Linked DNA regions of Oreochromis niloticus. The protein of the gene in region 2 interacts with the protein of the main gene of each other region in a pairwise test. Links are inferred from orthologs where the notes say so. Each region holds a gene or a part of one and is shown on either strand. Other genes may lie near its edges.

What was found.
Region 1: the proteins of lonrf1 (region 2) and alas1 interact in binary tests that used the Homo sapiens proteins (3 or more experiments, as listed by UniProt). The two-hybrid records come from large-scale screens. The link is inferred for Oreochromis niloticus from reciprocal best matches to the Homo sapiens genes LONRF1 and ALAS1.

What each region holds. Positions count from the first base shown.
Region 1 is NC_031970.2:19,676,619-19,687,623, forward strand, and holds the start of alas1 (5-aminolevulinate synthase, non-specific, mitochondrial), read right to left. Parts: upstream 5,053-11,005; 5' UTR 4,882-5,052; intron 2,106-4,881; 5' UTR 2,070-2,105; coding exon 1,865-2,069; intron 1,731-1,864; coding exon 1,548-1,730; intron 1,435-1,547; coding exon 1,300-1,434; intron 1,072-1,299; coding exon 852-1,071; intron 514-851; coding exon 329-513; intron 229-328; coding exon 49-228; intron 1-48. Other genes in the region: protein shisa-4-like, read left to right, coding at 9,552-9,618, 10,579-10,744.
Region 2 is NC_031971.2:21,179,426-21,190,642, reverse strand, and holds the start of lonrf1 (LON peptidase N-terminal domain and RING finger protein 1), read right to left. Parts: upstream 4,543-11,217; 5' UTR 4,386-4,542; coding exon 3,776-4,385; intron 1,254-3,775; coding exon 1,135-1,253; intron 245-1,134; coding exon 122-244; intron 1-121.

The sequences.
Region 1 (11,005 bases), on a different chromosome or scaffold from region 2:
AAAATTAACATTTATCCAACAGCAGTGAAGCAGTAATTAGAAACTGACCATCCATGGAATGGACGGTCTCAAAAGCCACGATCTTTGGTTTTGTGGGATCTCCTTTCTCCAGGAGCTCTCGAAGATGGGCCACATCATTGTGGCGGAAAATGAATTTCTTAGCACCGCTGTTCCTGATACCCTGAATCATTGAGGCGTGGTTACCTGCGTCAGAGTAGATTTCACAACCTAAAAATGTTCAGACGAGAGGAAATCGTCAATGAGACCAAACACGCTTACAGGAGGTTCGAATTACTGTTAAATACACCAAGTTTTTCCGTCTGCATACCAGGCAGCATCTTCGCAAGGGTGAAGAGGGTGGAGTCATTGGCAACGAAGCAGGAGGTGAACAGCAGCGCCGCATCCTTCTTGTGAAGGTCAGCCAACTCTTGTTCTAGCTCCACGTGGAATTTACTGGTCCCAGAGATATTCCTGGTACCTCCTGCCCCCGAGCCATGTTTTTGTAAAGTATCCCTGGCAATAGACAAACAGTTGCTCATTAAAATGCTGCAGACGTGTATGCAAGATCCAACAAGCTCAAACAAGTTGAGGGGAAAAAAAAAAGAAAAAAAAAAAAAGAAGAAGAAAAACAACATCATCATCGTGACACATGAGGTTTAGGTGTGATCCATGTCCAACTCAACACCCAAGGGTGTCAGGTTGCATCATGTAATTATGCTCTGTGCTGGTTTCTCTCTGAACTCAGCTCTCACAGAGGGACAAAAAGTAAAAAGCAATCAGGGAAGGTAGACAGGCCGTACACATCAACGCACCTTGACCCATTAAACTGGATTAACTACTCAGTTACTCACATGATGGACTGCACGACTCGAGGGTGTCGACTCATGCCCAGGTAGTCGTTGCTGCACCAAACCGACACGTCACGCTTTTCTTGTAAAGAGCTTGTGAAGTCGTCAGCCATCGGGAACTCAGTGGCCCGACGATTCACGGTCTTAAACACGCGGTACGTGTGATCGTTCTTCTTCTCTTCGATCTTCTTCTCAAAAAACGCATCGTACTGGAAGCGGGCCGCTGGAAAAGAAGAGGAAGGTATAAGGTTGCTTAATGTGGCTTAGTGTTGCTACAGTACTGCAACTGATGGAGCAACTTTAACATGAGGAAAGACTACACCCGTGTGCAAAAACACCAAAACATACTTGCAACTAAAAAAAGAAAAGATTGTCATAGTAAGGCAGACAGTATCTAGATTAATCACAGGCTTGCAGGACAGTGTGATAAAACTATCAACATAAAACCTACTTCTTCCTGGTAAGTTGTCTTGCAGCAGGTGGCTGACTTTCTTAGGTCGCTGTTTCAGGAGGGTTTTCATTAATGTGGTTTCTCCTTCGGTAGTACTGGCCAAGTTTGGCTGCTTTAGTTGGTCAGCAGGCACTTCTGTCATGACAAAAACAAAATGCTGTCAAATACTGTACAAAACTATGGAAACCTGATTAATTTCTCAAAGAAAAAAAACAAAAAACAAAAAACCAACAACAAAAAACCCTTACCTTTCTTCACAGTGCGCACTTCCTGTACATCCTCTTGGAACTCTATGCCAACCTGACGGACTACACCACTGTTCTTCTGGCTCATCTCAGCAGCCAGGAAAGGGCATTTGGAGGCCATCATCTGTCCTGGAGGTGGCATAGGGTGGCCAGCCGGCAGCTTGGACTCCACCTCCTGTTTGGGGGCTGCAAAGGGACAAAAGTTTTAAATTTCACATTTATCAGTAATTCTATCATTACATGATTTATTTGACTAAATATAATACAGCTGTAGTGTTGATTAGAATAGCCAGTATCACCACCATCTTTATCATCCTCACCGGCAGACATGGTGTTCTCAGGCTTCTGGTGGGAGGATGAGGAGGAACAGAGGGCACGTGCCATTGAAGGGGCCATAGGTTTTGCAGCCAGCTCCATCATGATGGGGCATCGCTGGGCGTAGGTCACCAGCGCCTTTTTGGACTGCTGGAGAAAGGCCTGGGGCATGCGAGCCAAGAAAGGACAGCGGCGCACTATTACATCCATAATCAGCAGCGGTGATGACGATGATTGTCTCGAGTTCTAAAGGAGAAAGAGAAAACTTATGTGAAACGTGTCCTGCAGACAATGCAGATAATGTTTTTGTTCCATAAAAGAAAGGAAAAAAGGCTTTTTAGAAGAAAAAGCCTGTCTGTTGCAAAAACCTGTTTTACAACATAGGTCAAGGAAGTGGGAAAATGCTGTTTATGGTCAAACACTCCTACATGGTTCAGCTAAATCTAGATTTTGAAAAACAAAAACAAGTGAGAATGAGATCTGATTATCTCAGTCTTTCAAAGGCAGGTGAGATGAGTTCACTGAGCCACTGATATAATACGTGAAAGCTGAAAGACTCTTACGAGCCCACATGTTTGGCTACACTCACAATAGTCAAGTGTTACTTTAAGAAGCCTGCAGTGTTTGCAGTGATGGGAATAACGGCGTTACAAGTAACGGCGTTACTAACGGCGTTACTTTTTTCAGTAACGAGTAATCTAACTAATTACTATTCCTATCGTTACAACGGCGTTACAGTTACTAACAAGGAAACGCGGTCCGTTACTATTTTTCAACAAACAGACGGTTGAAGCTGTGTTCAGCTTACCGCATCTTCTGGACGCTACAGCTTTAAGCAGCTGCGCGCGCTCCCGCGGACGCTAATCACGAGCACTGTCCAGCACAACACCTGGAGCTCAGGAGGCAAAACAATCGCATGAGTGCTGCTGTTTGACTGAGGAAGAATAAAGTAGTCGTGGTAAGTCAATCACACGACCACTTAAAGACAAAGCAACAAGGTGATATATACCAGTTTATAAATTGTGTTGATAGGCCACGTAAAACCAGAGTCATGATAAACAATATATACGCGGCGTTTTTTCCTCAATAGTTTCGCCACGTTAGCGCTAGCAAGCACTCTCTGCTTATGAGCAAACAAAACAAAAGTTTTAGGAGTGACGGCGAGAGAGAGAGAGAGAGCAGGAAAAGAGAGAGAGCGAGTTTTGAGATTTGTGACGTTTAGCGTGTTTGGAGTGTGTAGTTCATGTGTTGTCTTGTGTAGTTAGTGTGTAGTGTTGTGTATAGTTTTGTGTTGTGTGTCAGAACAATGAGGCGACTGCTGTCTCCAGGTAGAAACAGGAGTGATACACCTGCTGCTGTCAGACCTGCAGGTATCAGGCTGTGATGTTCTCCTTTATAGTGGACAGAAATTATTTTTTTGGAGTGGCACAAATAATTTGTGTGGCATCTTATTGAATGCAGAAGCAGAACAGCTGATTGTTCTGTAAATAGTTTGAAATGGTTATTTAAAAAAAAAGGGTAAAAGGTAAATGGATGCAAATAACTTTGTTGTTTGCAAAACTTGTGCATATAATTTTAAAACTGACAATTTATATTTGTATTTGAAGTTATGAAATATGATTCATTAAACGTGTTTATGGTTGTTACAGTAAAAATATAACTTTTTCTACTCTGATTTTATGTTTTTTGTTTGATTTTAGATCAATTCTGGTTATACAGTATGATAAAATGAGAACATAACTGTAAATTCAGGCTCGTGAGGTTGCGCTAAAAAGAATGATACCAAACAAGGCAAAGTAAATAGTTTTTAAAGGTAAAATGTGGAGAGAAAATCAAGAGTAGTAAAAAAATGGCCAATTATACTCTGGACGCCAGAGGGTTAAACGTTCTTTGTTTTTGTTTTTAAAGTAACGCAATAGTTACTTTTCCAAGTAATTAATTACTTTTAGAATATTGTAACTGAGTTACTAACTCAGTTACTTTTTGAAGAAGTAACTAGTAACTGTAATTGAATTACTATTTCAAAGTAACTTGCCCAACACTGAGTGTTTGCTCATAGCTGGGTCATAACCTTTCCCCAACAGAAACCAGTTCCCAGGTAGGACACCCACACCTGAACTTTGCTCCCTATGAAGTTCCAGAGAAATCTAACAGTGACTAATGTGGTACGTCGAAGCTGCTCTTTCCCTTATATAAACACTAGATAGAGATCAATACATACATAACATAAAAGTAATGCCAATGTAATTCATAGAGTTCCAAACAAAGAAAAGCTAGTCTTTGTTTCTGTTTATTTATATGCCTTTAATAATGATACCCACATTATTTGTCGACTTATTTAAAGCTACTCAAAGTGCTACTGACGAAACATGATGATGATGACGATAATAATAATAATAATAATAATAATAATAATAATGATGATGATGATGATGATGATGATGATGATAAATTATATTATTGTTGTTATTATTAATAATGAAACTTCTGTCTTCTGCCTGATTAAATACCCCTGCTTATACCCGAGTTGTCCTACAGTCCTTACTTTGACTGAACTCATGGGCGTCTCCGGGCTAGTAAAAACCCCATCAGTTTAATCTAAACTAAAAACAGTAGCGCTCTACCTAAACAACGCTGCTTACGATAATTATGACCATGATTTATGTTTATTCATATGGTCTACCCATCTCTACTCAACCGGTGTTACAATAAAAATAGATTTATTAAAACCTCAACACTTTAAATAAATTCACTGGTTTAACAGGTATTTTCCTGTTTTGACTCACCATTTTTTTTGCGCAAAAGTTGAGCAAAAGTCATACCTTATGTGTCTCCGATGGTAATAAATATCGCGATGAGATCGTTTCGAGACATAAAAAGTGTCAGCCTGGCTTTCCTATCGTTAACCGGGCCCATCGTGATCCTTGCCGGTTGACTGATCTTAGCAGGACGGCTAACATTAGCTAAGAAGCTACTCGAAATAGGGGTGATGATCGCGATGAGGTCAAATAAGAACACCTACCTCTTAAAACTTCACAGCTTCCGGTGTAATCCTCGTCGTGTTATAGTGACAATAAGCGATCTTGGGTGCTGCTCAGAGAAATAAAAGAAAACACAGCTTGTTGTTAACGGAAGCAGAGCAAAACGACTCTTCGTTATCCTGCACTGAGGACGAACGGAGAGGACGAGGGCGAGCCAGTTCTTATAAAGTAATGCCCAGACGAAGTATCGCGAGATCTTAATTCTGACGTTCTGTGTGCGTCATCAAACACTCTCGCCTATCTGGCAGCGGACCCAGCAAGGTTTTGTTAAGGACACTTGAGTGGAAAGGATTTGGTCATTACAAACACGGTGAAGGTGGTTTCCTTTACATGAATTCATAGATTGAATCCCCAAACTTCCAACAAAACTATAAAAGCGATTTAGATGTCATTTATTTTGGTTTTGTACTTTTATGCAGGTGTCATGGAAAAGCATTTTGGAAAAGCATTTTGGTTTTATCTCTAACAACATGCTGTCAGAATTTTTTATTTTCATTTCTATTTCTATATATTTGTATTTCACATCTTATTTGGTTGTAAGAAATACGAGAGCAGTACCTCATCTGTTGGCTTTTACTCCTTGTCAGACACCACATCCATAAATGTAAACTCTCAAAAGAGAAGCCACGCTTCCTTTTTTTTTTTCATGAAGGAAATGGAACTTTATGTGGCCCAATTTATTCTATTCTTCCCATAAGAAAAAGATATTGATATCTGTGATTTTTAATGTCTCTCATGACCCCGTAACTCTTTCACCTCATTGTTTTGTTCCGTTATGATTTAATTGATTTCCTTGCCATTATTTTTGTGTTATGCTTTTATTGTAAAAGGGAAAAATAGCATGCCCAACAAGGCTCAGGGGCCCAAAGGTGTTGGAGGGGGCTAGGGAACTTGTAGAGTAAAAGGATTCCTTTTTTCTCATGCTCATAAAAGACCCACAACCACAAAGAGCTTCAGAAAGAAAGCAGCTCATGGAAAAGAGTCGTTGTAACTGAAACGTGGGAGTATTTCTCCACTTGGCTTTTCTAAAGGATATTTGGGTTTATGCCACAGCTGATGTTATGGCTGAAACTATGGCTGAAAATGTTTTATGTTTGCTTCTCTTGTAGTAACAGCCTATCACTTAATCTGGAGTTTGGAGTGATTTAATTCAATTATTATTTTGCTTCTTTTGTTGCTTTACTTTTTTTTGTTTATCTTTTGATTTTTGCACTGCCACACCCCAAGCTACAGCAAAACCTGTGGCTGATAAATGTGGGCTACACACAAATTAATCTAAGATGATATAAGAGACATTCACATGAGTAGGCGGATGTTTTAAAAGTTGTATGATGAAGGCCCTGAAGGTGCATTATGATTCTTTTGTGACATTTATCATGTGTTTTGTGAGTTGTCAGCTCTTTGTCATGTGTTTCCTTATTTTGTTGCAGTGGCTTGAACTGAAAGTATTTATGGGGGTTTCAATTAGTACAAAAGTAAATGAATATTTGTGTCCATGAGCATGAGTCAATCCATTTTTTGAATCTTTAATGAAATGCCATGAGATCAGGTTGGTGTGCTGGGGAAAGAGGGAACCGTGGGGTTTCCGGTGCTTCATATTACCTGCAAAGCCCTACTAGAAGCATGAGAGTTATATTTAAATGTATTCAGTTGGACCTTAGTTGGGCAGTGATTTTGAAGAATTACTTAAATTTACTTTAATTTTAATTGTAAGTAGGACATAAAGACTGCCTGCACATAATTACTGGTCAAAATTTATAAAAAATGCTTATAAAGTTTGCTGATTTCGCACAAAAGTAAGATTTAGAAACTCTTTAACCCCATTGGAAGTCACCATCTTTGTGAATTCTACCACAGATTTTAATTCACGATTCTTTGATTGCCATATCTCCCTTTTATATTTACTCCGATCTTTGTAGTATTTATTCTGTTTGTAGCCGTTAAAAATAACTTACAGTCATTGTGTTTAATCACCTTTTACCTCCATCTAAGATTTGCAGAGACTTTGTAATTTAACAACAGCTCTCTAAACTACAACTTTATGTGTATTTGAATTGTTACAATGATGCAAAACACTCAAACTGAAATCAGATTACGACTCGAAAGACTTGTTAATCGCTCTAGAGGTTTTCGCTGCATGTGATGTCTGGATTTAAAGAGTGACACTAAACTTGGATTGGTGCCTTAATGGATTTTAGATTGTCTTGTAATCTTTGCAGGTGTTCTTGCATGCGTGTGGGTGAAAGGTTGTTGACAAAGCCTATGGTGCCAAACCAAGGCTAAACTCAGTAAACACATTACACATTGTTACCATTTTATTAGGTGCAGCTGTTTAAAATGAATTCATTTTAATGCAACTGAATGCTTCATTGTTTAAACAGTTCTAATGTAATATTTTGCAGTGTATATATCTGAGCCATTCTTTCTCATACATTGTAAGTGAAAAACTCAGAACCTCAGTTTAACATAGTATTTCAGCACCAAATACTGGCAAAGAAAGAGTGATCAAAAAGGCTTTAAGACTTAAATGAGCTTTAGTTTTTATAAGAACTGTAATTCCCATTGTTTATAATCACCTATTGTGGCTGTACTGGTGCTGACTACAAGTGTATGCGGAGGGGAAAAAAAGCACTTTACTCAGAACAACAACAATAGCATTGCAAAAAGAATTTCAAATGTCTTACTCTGAAGAATCTACACTTGTTTCTGCCCTCTGGATCTGTGAGGTTTTTCACCGTCACTTCAGATTTATGGTTGCGGTGTTTTGCTGCCCTCTGCTGATCTATTTTGACTTTAGCAGTGTTTCCTAAAGTTTTACCCTCATACCTGTACTTATGTCAGACTGTATTATTTAAGTGTACTAAAGCAGTTACTTAAACTCACCTTGCCTGGGAATGACCGATAAAATGAATGCCACCCATCCATCCATGCAAATCAGTACAGTTCAAAGCTTTTATTTGTACCAACATTTACAGTGACACTGAACAGTCTGTGCTCTGAGCCAGGCAGTAAACAAAGTCTCAGTCATCCATATTTTCCTCAGGTGTTCTTTACAAACACTGGATGATTGTCCCAGGTGACTGCAGTTTCACTAATGCAACATAAAAATGCCCCTAATGTTTAACATTTAAGATTCACATTTATTTTCAAAGTAAAAACACTGGAAAGTTATCTTAACAGACTGTGATGTTGTTAACACAAGCACACTATTACAATCTGAAACACGTATTCTTTGTTATGAAATATCTTCGATTTGAAAATCATAATAAGAATAACAGGATCAGTGATTTATAAAACTCTGTGTGCATAATTATACCTGCGTTTCTTCTGACTGATGTAAGCCAGAAATACATAAGAAGTTGAAACAGAAAATTATTGAAAGTTGCAGATGTGTATTAAATGGGAATTAAAACGCCGTCATAGACCGAGTTTTAATCTGGTTGTAGGCTGTGGCACTAGGTGGCAGTAGTGGACTGGACTCCACCTGAATGCAGGTAATGTAAAGTGCATGCTTTATTTCTGGACCTGACAACTCTCAGGGTGATTAGAGCTCAACTAACAGGTTCAGAATTTTTTCGCTATCAGCAGCGAGTCAGTGCCAGATGTAACGACATTCATCCATCCATTCATCACCCACATGATAGCTACCAAAAATACCTTTCATTTCATTTTCCTCTTTATTCGTCAGGGACCATGTACAACAAACATTAACCTTCTAAGAGAAAATTGTACCTGATTTAGCTGATGGCTGATTTCCATCCGCAGTCCCTGGACAGGTTTAATGAACACATCAGCAATAAACAAATTATATTAATACAAATTCAGCTGACAATTCAGCGCAAGCGGACAAACATCCCAGCTAAAATAATTTCAAAATCCAGCCCAGTATCACGTCCGCACGACGTCCCCTAGTGGACCAACAGGTCAATTACACGCTTTTACTTCTAAATCATATAATTGTTTGCTACAATAGCTAGCTCAGTTTTTAAGGTTAGTTAGTTTAATTAATTGTAAATGGACTGAAGCTTGTGTTTTCTTACTCTCACCTAGCACTCTTAAAATTTCAAACTGTATCCACAGACACATTTTAGCGCTCACACGCAAACCCAGACGGATGGATTCATACGTGGGGTTCATGTCTTGTCCAGGGACATTTCATCTTGTAGATGTAAAAGGTCCAACCTTTGGAGTAGTAGACAACCCACTCTGAATCCTGAGCCACCGTAAACATATTTAATAAGCAGTCCATCCCGGAGTGCGACTTAAACAAGTCACTCTATCACAAATCTCGCAGTCAAAATAAGACATGCTTTTCTTTGCATTCAAATGCGTGCCACAAATTTTCAGTTTATGTATGATTCATTTAAATGCTCTCCTCCCAAAATGTTGTGCTTTAAAAGGAAAGGAAAGCTGAAAACAATATAAGAGCCGCAGTGTGACATTTGATCGCCTTTGCAGTTCAGTTACGGGTGAATGATGCATGCAAACTTTTGTGAGTGAAGAAAGTCTGCCAGTGGGCTGGAACATGAACTGAGTTCCGTATTGACGATCAGACCGAACATCAGCGGTTGATTCAAATCAAACGTTTCCTCTAAGAGTATCGCAGGAGATTTCCAGTTCCTTTACTGGTTTTGGGGATGCGGGAGTAACCATGGCACCAGTGGTGTCCAGTATTGTTGTGTTGGCTCTCTATGTGATCCTGTCCCCTCGTGTATCCGGTAAGTTTGATTATTTTAATCTGTAAATGGCATTCGATGAATCACAGGCAATCAGTGTGTGATGTCATCTTCATACCAGTACTAAACAGGCCGCTACCGTGTTATTATTATTGTTTTAAGTTGCAGTTTTGTGCTTTAAATCTTATAATAAATAGTTTGTTTAATTCAGTCATTTAAACATAGGAATACTCACACGGACACATTGAATGTTAACCAGTGTCAGTGTCTGGGTATTTTCTAATGTTATAAGCTATAATCTGGTAACTCAAGTTGCCAGGTAATTAAGTACAGGCAAGGCCATTATATCCGATGTAAAGCAGCAGGCATAAAGAAATACAAATCTTTAAAGGTTATAATAATCATCATTTGGAAGTTTAATTTTGTATAAATATAATACATATAAGTTTTCGTAATTAAAGTTTTATTATTTTTGAACATTTAAACAAACATAACATAACAACACAAAACAACAAAAACCACACTCAGTGAGGGATTTTTTTTTAATAAATAATAAAAAAATATATATATATATATATAATTTATAAATAAACTGTTGCGCACACAAGAGCCTTAATTCTTAATTCAAACTGTATCTCACATTGTCATCATGCTGTAGACCCATAAAAACAAAAACTGTCCCATTATTCTGTTAGAGTGTCTGTCTTGCTGCTCAGTCTTCCCAGCATTTTCTCGCATGCGGAATATAATAAATATAATTAAGGGCTCCAAACTGGGAGCTGAGCCTAAATAAGGGTGTGAAAACACAACCTTTTTATACAATGTTGTACAGTTCAACAACACCCACAACTACAGCCTCTGAAATTACACTGAAGTTGAAAAACTCCCTAAAAGTCAACATGTCGCTGCACTGAGCAGTGAATTATCTTAACTAAAAATTCATTGAATTATCTGAAATGTGCTCATTTCTCTTTGTTTTCCGTGTCTGCTCTGTTTCATCAGGGGACGAGTGCTTGGGATACTCAGAAAGGTTCGGGACTCAGAGCACCGTGTCCAGTTATCAGAGTTCCCAGGAATGCTTTACAGAATTTTGCTGTGGTTTCTGCTACAACAGATATTGCTGTTCAAATCCTTTCATGAGGTTTGATAAAGATCAGCAAGAACGATGGTATTTTTTCTATGTTATTCTGTAATCAACAAAAAACTACCTTGTGTAAAGTTAACAATTTCTGTTTTCGACGTCTGTTCCCTTTTTTCTTTTCCTTTTTTGTGTAATCACAGTCGCACACAGTCATTGTGATGGTGTGCCTGTTTTAGGCCAATTTTACCATTAAGAAACAGGAAGTTATGTCTTCCTGTGCACGATTACCAACAAAGGTGTAACGTTGAAGAGCAATCCACCTACAGCTTGCACCAGAGGCTTTCCCCC
Region 2 (11,217 bases):
CGTTGTGTTCCCAGCTTAGACACTCATGCCCTGGACCTAAACTACTTAAAATAGTTAAAACAGTATGAATTCCACTTCCTCCCTGGCAGCAGGCTCGCAGCAGACACCGTAACCCTCTCACCTTTTCCACTTGTCTTTTAGCACAGGGGAAGTCCTCATCAACAGCCAGGCAGTGGAGGAAGACTTGGAGAGACTCGTCCACTTGGCCCATCTCATGCAGCACCATAGCTTTCCTAAATAAAGCCTGAAAGAAGACGTGCAAATGTGACTCTCAGACAAGCTTCAAATACACAAGCTACAGGTGTAGCTTTTATACATATATATATATATATATATATACACATACACAATGCTTTCAATGCCTGTCAATATGACTATGCATCACATAGATAAAATCACAAAACATATCGTAGGCATTCGACACACACGTTTGGTGTCATGCTTGTGATGTAATAGTTGTTAATGTCTGTGACCTTAATCACTGCATTCTCAGCTGCCATCGAGAAAACCTTGACTGGTCATGACACTCTTTTGTAACACATTTACCCAAAGAGAAGATCCTTTATGTAACAGTAAAAATAGCAGCCCACTGTTAAAAGTACGGCCTATAAGCAAACAGTTAGATCAGCAAAAAGTCATTCTCTGGGAAGTATAATTCACTGGTCACTAATCCAACATAAACCTTGTAAAGTGTTCTATAACAATGTGGATGAATGAATAAACCTTGCTGCTGTAAACTGGTCTGCAATTTACAGGTCATTAGCATCTAACGACACTAATGACACAGTTAATGAGGCCACTCTCTCTCCATCTGTGGGGCTGTGACGGCAGCAGTCTTAAAATACACCTTTTCTAAGTAAAGGCTGGCTGACCGATATATCACAACAGGTGAATGCACGCTAGACTCGACTATGCAAAAGGTAGTTGTGTGAGTCATCCACTAACCTTAGGGCTTACATTGAAAAAAAAAGTTCTATGCTAACTTACCCAACACCAGTCATTCAACCACATAAATCCTTCAGACTTTTACAAATTTTACAAAGTCATCCTGTTTCGTTATTATTTATTAGTCATGCTTCATTTCTATTTTTACAGCAGACTAACATATTCCTGGAGTATCACTGAATGACCTACTTCAGCAGAACAGCTGGATCGGGGACAAACGTTAGTGTCCTCCAAAGCCTGGCGGTACTGTTTCAGACCCATGTACGCCTCCGCTCGAGACAGTCGCGCCACCGCCGTCGTGTCTGGATCTGCAGGGGACAGGATGAAAAGGAGGGGGGAAAGAAAAACCTTCAATGGCCAGAGGAAATTGCTTAAACCTCAACACTTGCACAAATACAAACCATTTAGTTGCTGAATGATTGTGTTGCATGTCACATACATGTAATAGCACACATACCAATTAAGTCTATAACACACTGAGCTACCCCACAATATTTCCTAGCTGCACAGGCAAGTACTGTTTTCCCCTCAACAGAAAATATTTCCTGCAAGTCATACATTATGCAATTAATCAGGACCCTGCATTACATATTAACTGTGTCAATGAATTCTGGCCAAACAGTGTAAAAGGAAAACAAGCTGCAGAAGCCTGCAAGACCAGAGAGAGATTGGTTGACTATATAGTTCTGTCCACTGTGGTAGTTTAAATTAAAAAGAAAAAGCACTACAAAACATGACATATGCTTTAAACACAATGACAGGCTTTTTTGAAAGGCAGACTGCTTTGTTGATGGTAGAACAGCTGCCATTAAGGAGGGCCTAAAACAGCTCTAAATACTTCCACCTGTGAGAAAGACTAAACATTAAGATGAAGATATATTCCACTGGCTATGTAATCATCCTGCCTCAGCCTTTTAAAGCAATCTGTCTGCGTGGCAGATGAAGTTTGTTATTTAACTGCTGTGTCATCATAAACCACATTGCATACTGTCAGTGCTAATAATGTATTACGTTTCCCTGAGAGAGATTATCTCATTTCTATGGAGCATTCGAGATACTAATTGGAAGGGTAAGGGTAGTTTGTCTTGTCATCATTACATCAGCAAAGCACCCCCTCTGTGTCTGGAACTTTCTATCCTCCCCTCAGGTTGGATGCAGAACTGTGGGTCTGCACTGTCATAAGCAGGTACTGTCGACTGCAATAGCGCCTCAGTGGCATCGGTGTGAAGTCCTCGACCCACTGTCAAGTGACAGAAGGGTGATGCCGCTGTTATCTTTATGTAACCTTTAATGTGTACAAATCACTGCTTTTGGGACGACCTGAGAGACAATCCAGGAACAGGTCAGGCTGTAATTTCATATTTTGTCATTTGTCATCCGGCACACAGCCCTTCCTTCCTTTTTAAAATAGTCGAAGCAGCAAACGAGAAAAAAAACGAACAAACAAATATATGATGTTAATTTGAAAGCAAGTAACTCCAAGCATCTAATGTAGGGGAGGAAGTGCATTTGGGTTGTATTGATTATTTCTTAATTTATCCTCAGCAAGCTCCATGTTACATCCAGAAAAAACAAACCATTTACCATTTTAGGGGAAAAAGGGGGGGATAAAGTTTTGCTTTAAGTTACTCAAACTATCAAATGCAATTTATTTTGTTCTGATTAACTAAGACATGCTTTCAAGTCTGAGTCCCTGGGGGTTCCTGGAACACGGGTAACCCTTTCGCTAAACATCCTGATATTGTGCTGCTAATGTCTGAGTAACAGAGGTCAAAAAGGATACAGCATGTTACATGAGATATTAAATCACATGCAGGTCCAAAGCAGTTTTCCAGACCTACTGTCAAGCTGCCAGGCTATAGAACTACTACCCTAATTACTATAACAGCACAAGTTTAATGAATAGACTAGAGTTCCTTCATTGTGTGATTGAAAGTAATCAGAAATTTAGTAATCAGGAAATTAAAAAAAAGAAGGAAAAGAAAGCCTGTTCCTCTTGTAAGACAGCAGCATACCCACAATGCATCACACTGCTTTACTTTCTATTTTTGTTTTCACGAAGGCAGGGCATGCTATCCTCTGGCCTGTTTTTCCTCTTTAACCTGGGAACTCAGTGTACAGTTTTCAGTATGACTGGAGTTTGTTTTTACCGGACAGAGGAGCATTACTCACTTCAATACACCCACATAGGGGTTTCCTATCAATACTTGCATCTGCACCTGCGAAACTCAACGCCAACAAACCTCCCACATCACTAGCAGGCTAACTACAAATAAATAAACCAGCCTGGTTTAGTTTCTTTCATTGCATAACTTGCTGCCTTTGCTGGGTGTGTATACGGACCCCCGGCCTTGCCTTGCTTTACCCCTCGGTGAATCCATCCCCCCCTCCCACCTTCTAAGACATTTATGAAACCGTGGTTCGCCCAGACATAACAATTACAAAATACAACCGCCCTCCCCCCATAATAAGTTACAAAACCTGCTCCAATATGTGTCACGACCTGCCTTACGCAACGTGCACCAAGCGCGCATGCCCATCTTGTGCAATTTCGTAAGCTGGGCCCAGCAGATAGGCAGAGCAGGAGGAGACTGGCGTCAGTATAACACATGAAATTAAGTAATTACTACTTAAAGAAAATATTGGTCACCATGTTGTCCCCTCTGAATCCATTGAGGGCACGGGCCATACACGTATCCCGCTCCCGTCACTACTACACAACCCTGGTTAAGTAATAACACATCCGCACTCCAGTCACGCCTGCTCGGTGAGAGTGCGCAGTAGACACACCTCTCCCGAGTGCACGGCTGGCACTGTTAACAACACTGACCTGACTGAATCACGTCGGTTGCTAGCTCCACGGCTTCTTGGTAGCGTTTTCTTCTACAGAGTGCGTCCACTTCCGTTACTTTTTTCGATTTTTCCACTTCCTCCGGGAACCATTTACTTAGTAGTGCGCACAAAATCACGTTCACTTTCTCCTCGCCCCTCACGTGTTCACTACACAGTTTACATTTGTGAAGTAGCCGTCGCTGTAAGCATCGTTTACAGTATGAATGTCCACAGGCTAAGGTCACGGGTTCACCTAGAAAGCAGTGACAGTTAGGACACTCCAGCACGTCCTCCTCCGCGGAGCTCTCCGCCGCATCCCGGCTACTACGGCCCGACAGCGGCTCCGGCCCGGCCGCTTTCCTCTTAAAGTTGCGGAGGATACAGTCCACGAAAGTGCTGAGCTGCTCGGGCCGCACAGGACTGTACCGCATAGCAGCTGAAAACCAGTCAATGGCTTCTCTAAGGCAGTTTTCGGACGCTAGAGCGTTAGCTTTCTGAAGTATAAGTTCATGGTGGTCCTCCTCTTCCGAGACGTTGCCCGAGTCAGCACCGATGAAGAAGGCGCTTCTCTCCTCCAGGGCGTCCGCCGCTTGCGGCTGGAGCGACATATTAGCGTCTAAAAAGATGAGCAATAGTATGTTATAGAGACTTAAGTTTTCTTCTGGTAACGTGTTTATACATTTCTACGGCTGCCGTGGTCCTTTGCGGTATATTGAACGCACTTTCCCACAGATACCCGATTGTTACATAAAAAAAATAATTGTCACGTGAGCAGCAGACTCGTGCCGTGATTGGTCGGGACCTCTCGGTTACAAAACCTGCGCTTGAAAGTTTCATAACTACGGAAGAGACGTAGTAAAGTTGTCAGTGTGCCAAATGTCAACGCTCTAACTGGAACTTCTTAACCTCCAAGTCCTTTACAGTCAAATAAAACCAAGCAGAAGTCATATTACTGCGAAAGTTTGAGCGGGAGGTTTTGACACCAGGGGAAATAGGAAACCTACCAGAAGGCATTCATAACTGCTTGTGTAATACGATTTTGTAACACTTTCCCAAGTGTCAGTTTTATGTAATTAATTTCATGCACCTTATGCACCTATTTCCTCCTTTTTCTTTCGACTTTCTCAGTGTAGTTTCATACTTTCATTTGCTGCCGGAAATATTTACTCTTTGGTTTTTTAGAAAGTTTTGCACAGAAAAGCAAAGATAACAACTCCCGGTCACTGCTAGGATTACGTCACAGCCATATTATTTATGTAACGGGAAATTACCTTTCTCCAGAGGTAACAGGGCTTGAGGTCCGGTGTCTGGGGAGGTGTGTTTTTCTACCCAGGTATGCTTTTACTGCAGTGGCAGTGTCTTTGGGATCATTGTCATACTGATATATGAAGCTTTTGCCAATCAGATGGTTTCCAGATGGTATTGCATGGTGAATCAAAATCTAGCCGAAATACTATTGGTGTTGTTCCAAACCATGACAGCCTTTTTCCCTTGTTTCCCTTCCATACGAATGTCTTCTTGACGGCCACCCTTCCACTGAGACCATTTCTGATAAGACTTCGACAAACAGTAGGTGCAGATGCATCTCTCATGTCCGATTTCAAGTCACATATAGGAAAAGTACCCAGTTTTCGTGATCGTGAGAATCGTGATCTATCTATCTATCTATCTATCTATCTATCTATCTATCTATCTATCTATCTATCTATCTATCTATCTATCTATCTATGTCCGAACATAGTTTGAAGGAAAAAGACGAAGGGCCAGTATTTATTTATTTCCTCTGTTTCTTCTCCTCTCCATGTTCCACAAGAAGTAATCAAAATATTCCAAAGCAAAAATAAATCATTTTTTGAGGCAAATACATTAAACAAATTGTCTACATCTACACAACAAGAGGTTTTGTTTGACATTTTGCATTGTTCACACCAAACAGTTACTCTGATTGATCATCTGCCAGCTCCGAATCTGCTTCTTCAAACTGGCTGTTGAGTCACTTCAGCTCTCGGGATCTGTCAAAATATGTTCTCCTGGCTGTAAGTTTCTGTGCTATCTCGCAGAGTCTAAACAGTACATATTGCACAGAGTACATAGTGGCAATTGTGGTGATACTATGGTTATATTATGATAGCCATCGAACAGGATATCCACTCACGTCCCCTCATGCTTAACCAGTCTCGGCTTTAATGATACACAGATGTTCAGAGGTCATCAGCTCTCAGTGAAAAGTAAAAGGGTGATTTATGAAATGCTGCAATCTTTGGGAAAACGCTGTAAAAACCTTACACAGTGTAGCTGACGTTTTATGAGGCGGTGTGAACCTGATTGAGTTTTGTATAACGTGGAGGGACACCTCCCTCTAGTGGTTAAAGAATGTTATTGCTTTAATGGACTTGTTTAAAAAAAATTATTTGTAAAAAGTTATTTATTTACAAAATGTCTGCACTGAATAAATACAATAAAATGTGTATCTATTTTTGATCGAATGAATTTTAAAGCATGTCACAGAAATGTTTTATACCCCCCAGCATGTTTGCACTGAGTAGGAGATGCTCTGTATCTCATTGTACAGCTGTATAGTGACAATAAAGGTATTCTATTCTATTCTATTCTATTCTATTCTATTCTATACTGAAAAATAGAAATCTACATAGCATTAATGATCACTTGTCAACGTGCAGTTCATATGTAATATTTCGCATGGATCGCATTATTTGGTGCTTAGCACATTCTGCTGGTATGCAATACGCAGAGTGCGATGAAGCAGTTTGCACTGTCATGTGATAGGCTTGTTATAAACACCAACTAGAGGGCAGTGTTGCACTGTGTAAACTGAGTCACAGTCTGCTCACTCGACTGATCAGATGCATAAACCAGCATACAGCTCCATGACTAACCTCAGGAGGTTAAACTTTCAGTTTAACTTTTTTGTGTGTGAGTTGTGTGTCCACTACAGAGGACGCGAATGAGCAGGCTGGGTCTCAGAAGGTTAAAACTGTGTAGACGCACAACTTGAACTTTGCTCATTTGCTACATTAAACACGTTACAGTGCCACTGATGATAACAGAGTCAGCACACCCTCCTTTCATGAATCTTCCTTTCTCTTTCCTTGTCACTCTCATATAATTTTAAAACCGATGTCACAAAAGCTAGAAAGGAAGTGTCATCCTCTAAAATCTTAATTTATTCTTGATCAACAATTCCCAATTAAATGTGTCTTTATTAAGAAGCTATACCTGACATAGCCTTTTTATTTTTCTGTAATTAAGATCGTCCCTCTTTATTTCTAGATCCTTGCAAATGTGCATCCGTATGGTTACTCTGAAGAGTTACAGACTAACCATAGTTTGTGGATTTGAAGCACAGAAGGAAATAATCAGACCATATACTGATTTCACAACCGATCACAAAATTTTACTATGGCAGATGTTACTTTGTATAACGATTATCTGACAGTTGCCCATTTGTCTATGCAAAATATAAGTCTTCCTCACATGTGAATGATAGTTAGAGAGCAAACATGCTGGCCAAGATATGTTCTTTAACTGCCACATTAAACAAATCTCTACAACCGCCTTCTTTCACCTGTGCAACATTGTACAAATTAGGAACATCTGCTGTCACAGTGATTCTGAAAAACTAGTCCTGCGTTTGCCAGTTCAAGGCTGAATTATTGTAATTCCTTATTTTACTTATTCCTTATTGTCCACCATCTCCTGTCGAGTTTAGTAAAGATGACAGCACTCTCTGTGATGATGCAATGCATAGGGCTGGTTCAGGTGCTGCTTTAGGCCCAGGCTGCTGGAGGACTCATAGTGGTGCTCGGCTCTGTTCTCCTCTTGCTCACTTATCATCCACTTATATGCTGCTATTGCACGTCAGTAACTTTGTGTGTTCTGTGTTAAATCACTCTTTGTCTGTCTCTATATGACCCTGAGTCTGAAGTTGCTCAGTATTACTGATTTAAAAAAACAACAACAAAAACTGCTGTTTGTTTGGTTTGCCAGCCAGTGAAGGCAGGTGGCTGTCTTTCCTGAGAAAATTCTTTTGGAGCTTTCTTCCTGTTAAAGGAAGTTTTTTCTTCCTACTCCCCACCAAGTGTTTGCACAAAGGGAGTTTTTTTAAATAACATAACAAAGCCTTCATATGGCATATTTTAAAAAAGCAAGCAAGATTATTACCACACAAAAATACAGCTAGATCAGTTTGATCAATGCAAGATGCCCAATGTAACTGACCCCAGTTACAGATCCTAAGATTTAATTATCTCTTTACTTCCACTTACCCAGTTCGAGGGGTTGGGGGGCCGTTTTTCACGACATAGACAGAAAACAAGATAAAATGTATGCTATTTATCCCCAAAACTGTGAAATTATTGTGCTACAGCATGCAAAACATTAAGCATACATAAATTTAGTAGATATTAAGTAAATATGACAAAATAACTCAAGAAAGATGTAGTAATGAGACAGAAGCAGGAGTACAATTACATAAAAATGAATTTAAAAAAGTGAAATAAAATAAAAGAGATTGGTGAATTTAGCAAGGAGCTGCTAGAGATCAGTAGTGCGATGGCTGAACAGTACCAAATTTGACAAGTTTCATCAACTCATTAGCATAAAGTCTAGCTCAGGCAGTAGAACGGGTCAGCTACTAACTGGGAGGTTGGTGGTTTGATCCCTGGTTCCCGGTTGCTCCAGTCTGCATGCTAAGTATCTCTGGGTAAGATACTAACCCAAAGTTGCCCCATATAAATGAGAGCACTTATGTAGAAGAAAGTGCTTGTATGAATGAAGTGCTCTGAGTGCTCGGGTACAGTAGGAAAGACCCATTTAAACGAACTGGGAGCAAAGTTCTTCCTTCTTCCCCTCTTAATTAATAACTTTGTGTGATTCCCGTGATCAAAAGCTTTTAAAGCATAAAACACATAAAGAGTGACGAGTTTCTAACTTTATATTTATTTACAGTCTCGCTTAAAGAATAATTACACAAACCAGAGTCACATTTACAGTCACACTGGTTCTCATAGTTCATAAAACTATTTAATCTATCCAGCAGAATTCTTACAGTTACCAAGACTGCTGACTTTAATATGAAGCATCCTGAGATATTGGGAACTGGCATTTAGAAAAACATTGTATAAAATGAACGCAGGCCTGCATACCCGTGTGTTTATTGTACGTAGCATTATGTTCGTACACTGATGTACACGCTGTACTCGAGTGCTTCGCAGGCTTTGAATTTCTGAAATATAAAGATAATCAAAGGAACTACAGAAACACTGTGTGACTAAACCCTCGTTCTTTTCCCTGTTGACTCTTCAAATACGGTCTTATCACGATGACATACCATTTCTGTTGACGAAACAGTGCTACAGTTGATTTGTCAGAACATTCCAGTCCAAGCGGAGATATGTGACACACACTTCCTCTCAGTTTGATATGTCTGTGGGACTGATAATGCTGGGAGAAAAAAGAAAAAAGTCTAGTGTGTAACATGTGCATCATAATGTGTTGCTTAAACTGTAATAAGCAGGCAGCTTGCATGGTGTTGATCGTTTGACTTGTAAAGTAAAATGGAGAAAATGTGATAACTTCTATGGTTACATAATGAGCCTCGACATATTTCTATCATTCAATCTGAAGCACAAAGGCTGTCTGTGCCGGTGTTATCTGTTTCAGAGTGGAATAAAATTGCATTATTCACTTAAGGAATAAAAAGAAAAAGACTGTGCAGAGCAACAAAATGCACACTGTTCTGAGCGTGGACGTCTTGAGAAATCTGGAGGAAGAATGCACACGTTCGTATTCATTTATCAATGTGGGAAACCTTCTGTGCCTGATTCTCAAACAGCTGTGCAGGAATGCAGCCCTGGTGGTGACTCTTGGTCAGCCTTATCTGGCCCCACGTAATCTCCCAGAGGTGTTTGGGTTCTCAGGAGAAACACGTACTCAAGAACATGCAAAAAACACAGCAGCATTTCGAGTGTGCAAGCAATTGCACGTACACACACACACACACTAGAACTAGAGGGAGGAAGAGGTCGCCTGGAGGTTTATGTTATTTGAAAGATTCTGTTAAACATTACGCGACAAATTCAAAGCCAAGCACGTGTGCGCTCGTCTCCGGCTACGTGTACGATCTTGTTGGAGTCTCTGGTTTGTCTCCAGTTCTGTGTTGCACTAGAGTGTAAGAAGACGTGTTCTTGATCCAACAGGAAAAAAAAAATGTGAGTGAGGATGCCAGCATGAAATGTAAATGCCCCGTCTTAACTGTGGGCTTTCGCAGTCAAGTTAACACTTGTTTATGCTGTTGCTCTGTACGTATATGGAAAGTAGTGAGACTTGAGCTATGAGAATACACGGTTCAGGGTTAAGGATCATAACAATTCTTCTGTTTGGTTTACACCGGATCCTGAACAAAACAAGTACAGCACGTGCGAAGGATGTTTTCCTGCCGCACACAGACACTTCTCACTTGGCCAAGTGGATAAAAACATAGATGGGTACATTAGCTCCCCACTGCTCCCGGCTCTAAACCCTGGAGCCCACCCCGCCCTCCCTGCTTTGCCGCATGACTGCTCTCCTCATTGTAGGGTCTGCTGTGTCCACACTGAAAAAAAGGGATTGGCCAACTCTTGGATTTACGTAAACATCTTGCGTGTATTTAACATAAGTGCCTCATGCTTTAAAGTTAAGTGTAACTATATAGTGTAGAAACTACATGATATGCAGAGAGGCTAGATTAAATTGTTCATATCATGTTCGAGTGAAGTAACTCAATAACTTTCAGTCCCGTACGCTTTTGGATCGTGGTTTCAGGAAGGCATCCATCTCAGTCAAATCGAGCAAATTGGGTGGTTGTTACATTAAAAAAGTCTAACTTGTAATTTAAACACAATAATATCATGTTTCTATAAACGTAATTAAATCATGAAGGATCTGTATGAAATTCAACAACTTAATTTGTTCTTGTTGAGATGACATGATACAATCTAGTCAGAGTGGTTAGTTGCTGAACTCATGAAATTCACAAGATCGCACGAGATGTCAAACTGCAGGAAAATCACTGGAGTTATAAGAGGCAGACAATTACACACACACCACGTGTATGCTATTGCTGTTTATTGTGGTTTAACCTGTCAAGGACAAAAACGTACAAAAAAATTCTGCATCAAGCCTTGAAATCATAGCTTTCCTGCTTTTGTTAAGTCTGGATTGGTGGCATGGTGGTTAGTGCTGTTGCTTCACAGTAAGAAGATCCTGGGTTCAAATCCACAGTCTGGCTAGTTTGCACTGGTTTCTCTCTGGGTATTCTGGTTTCTTCCCACAGTTAAAAGTCATGCAGTTGTTAGAGTTAGGTTAATTGGTGATTCTAAATTACCTGTCAATGTAAGTGCAAATGGTTGTTTGTGATAGACTTATGAGTTGTCCAGGGTG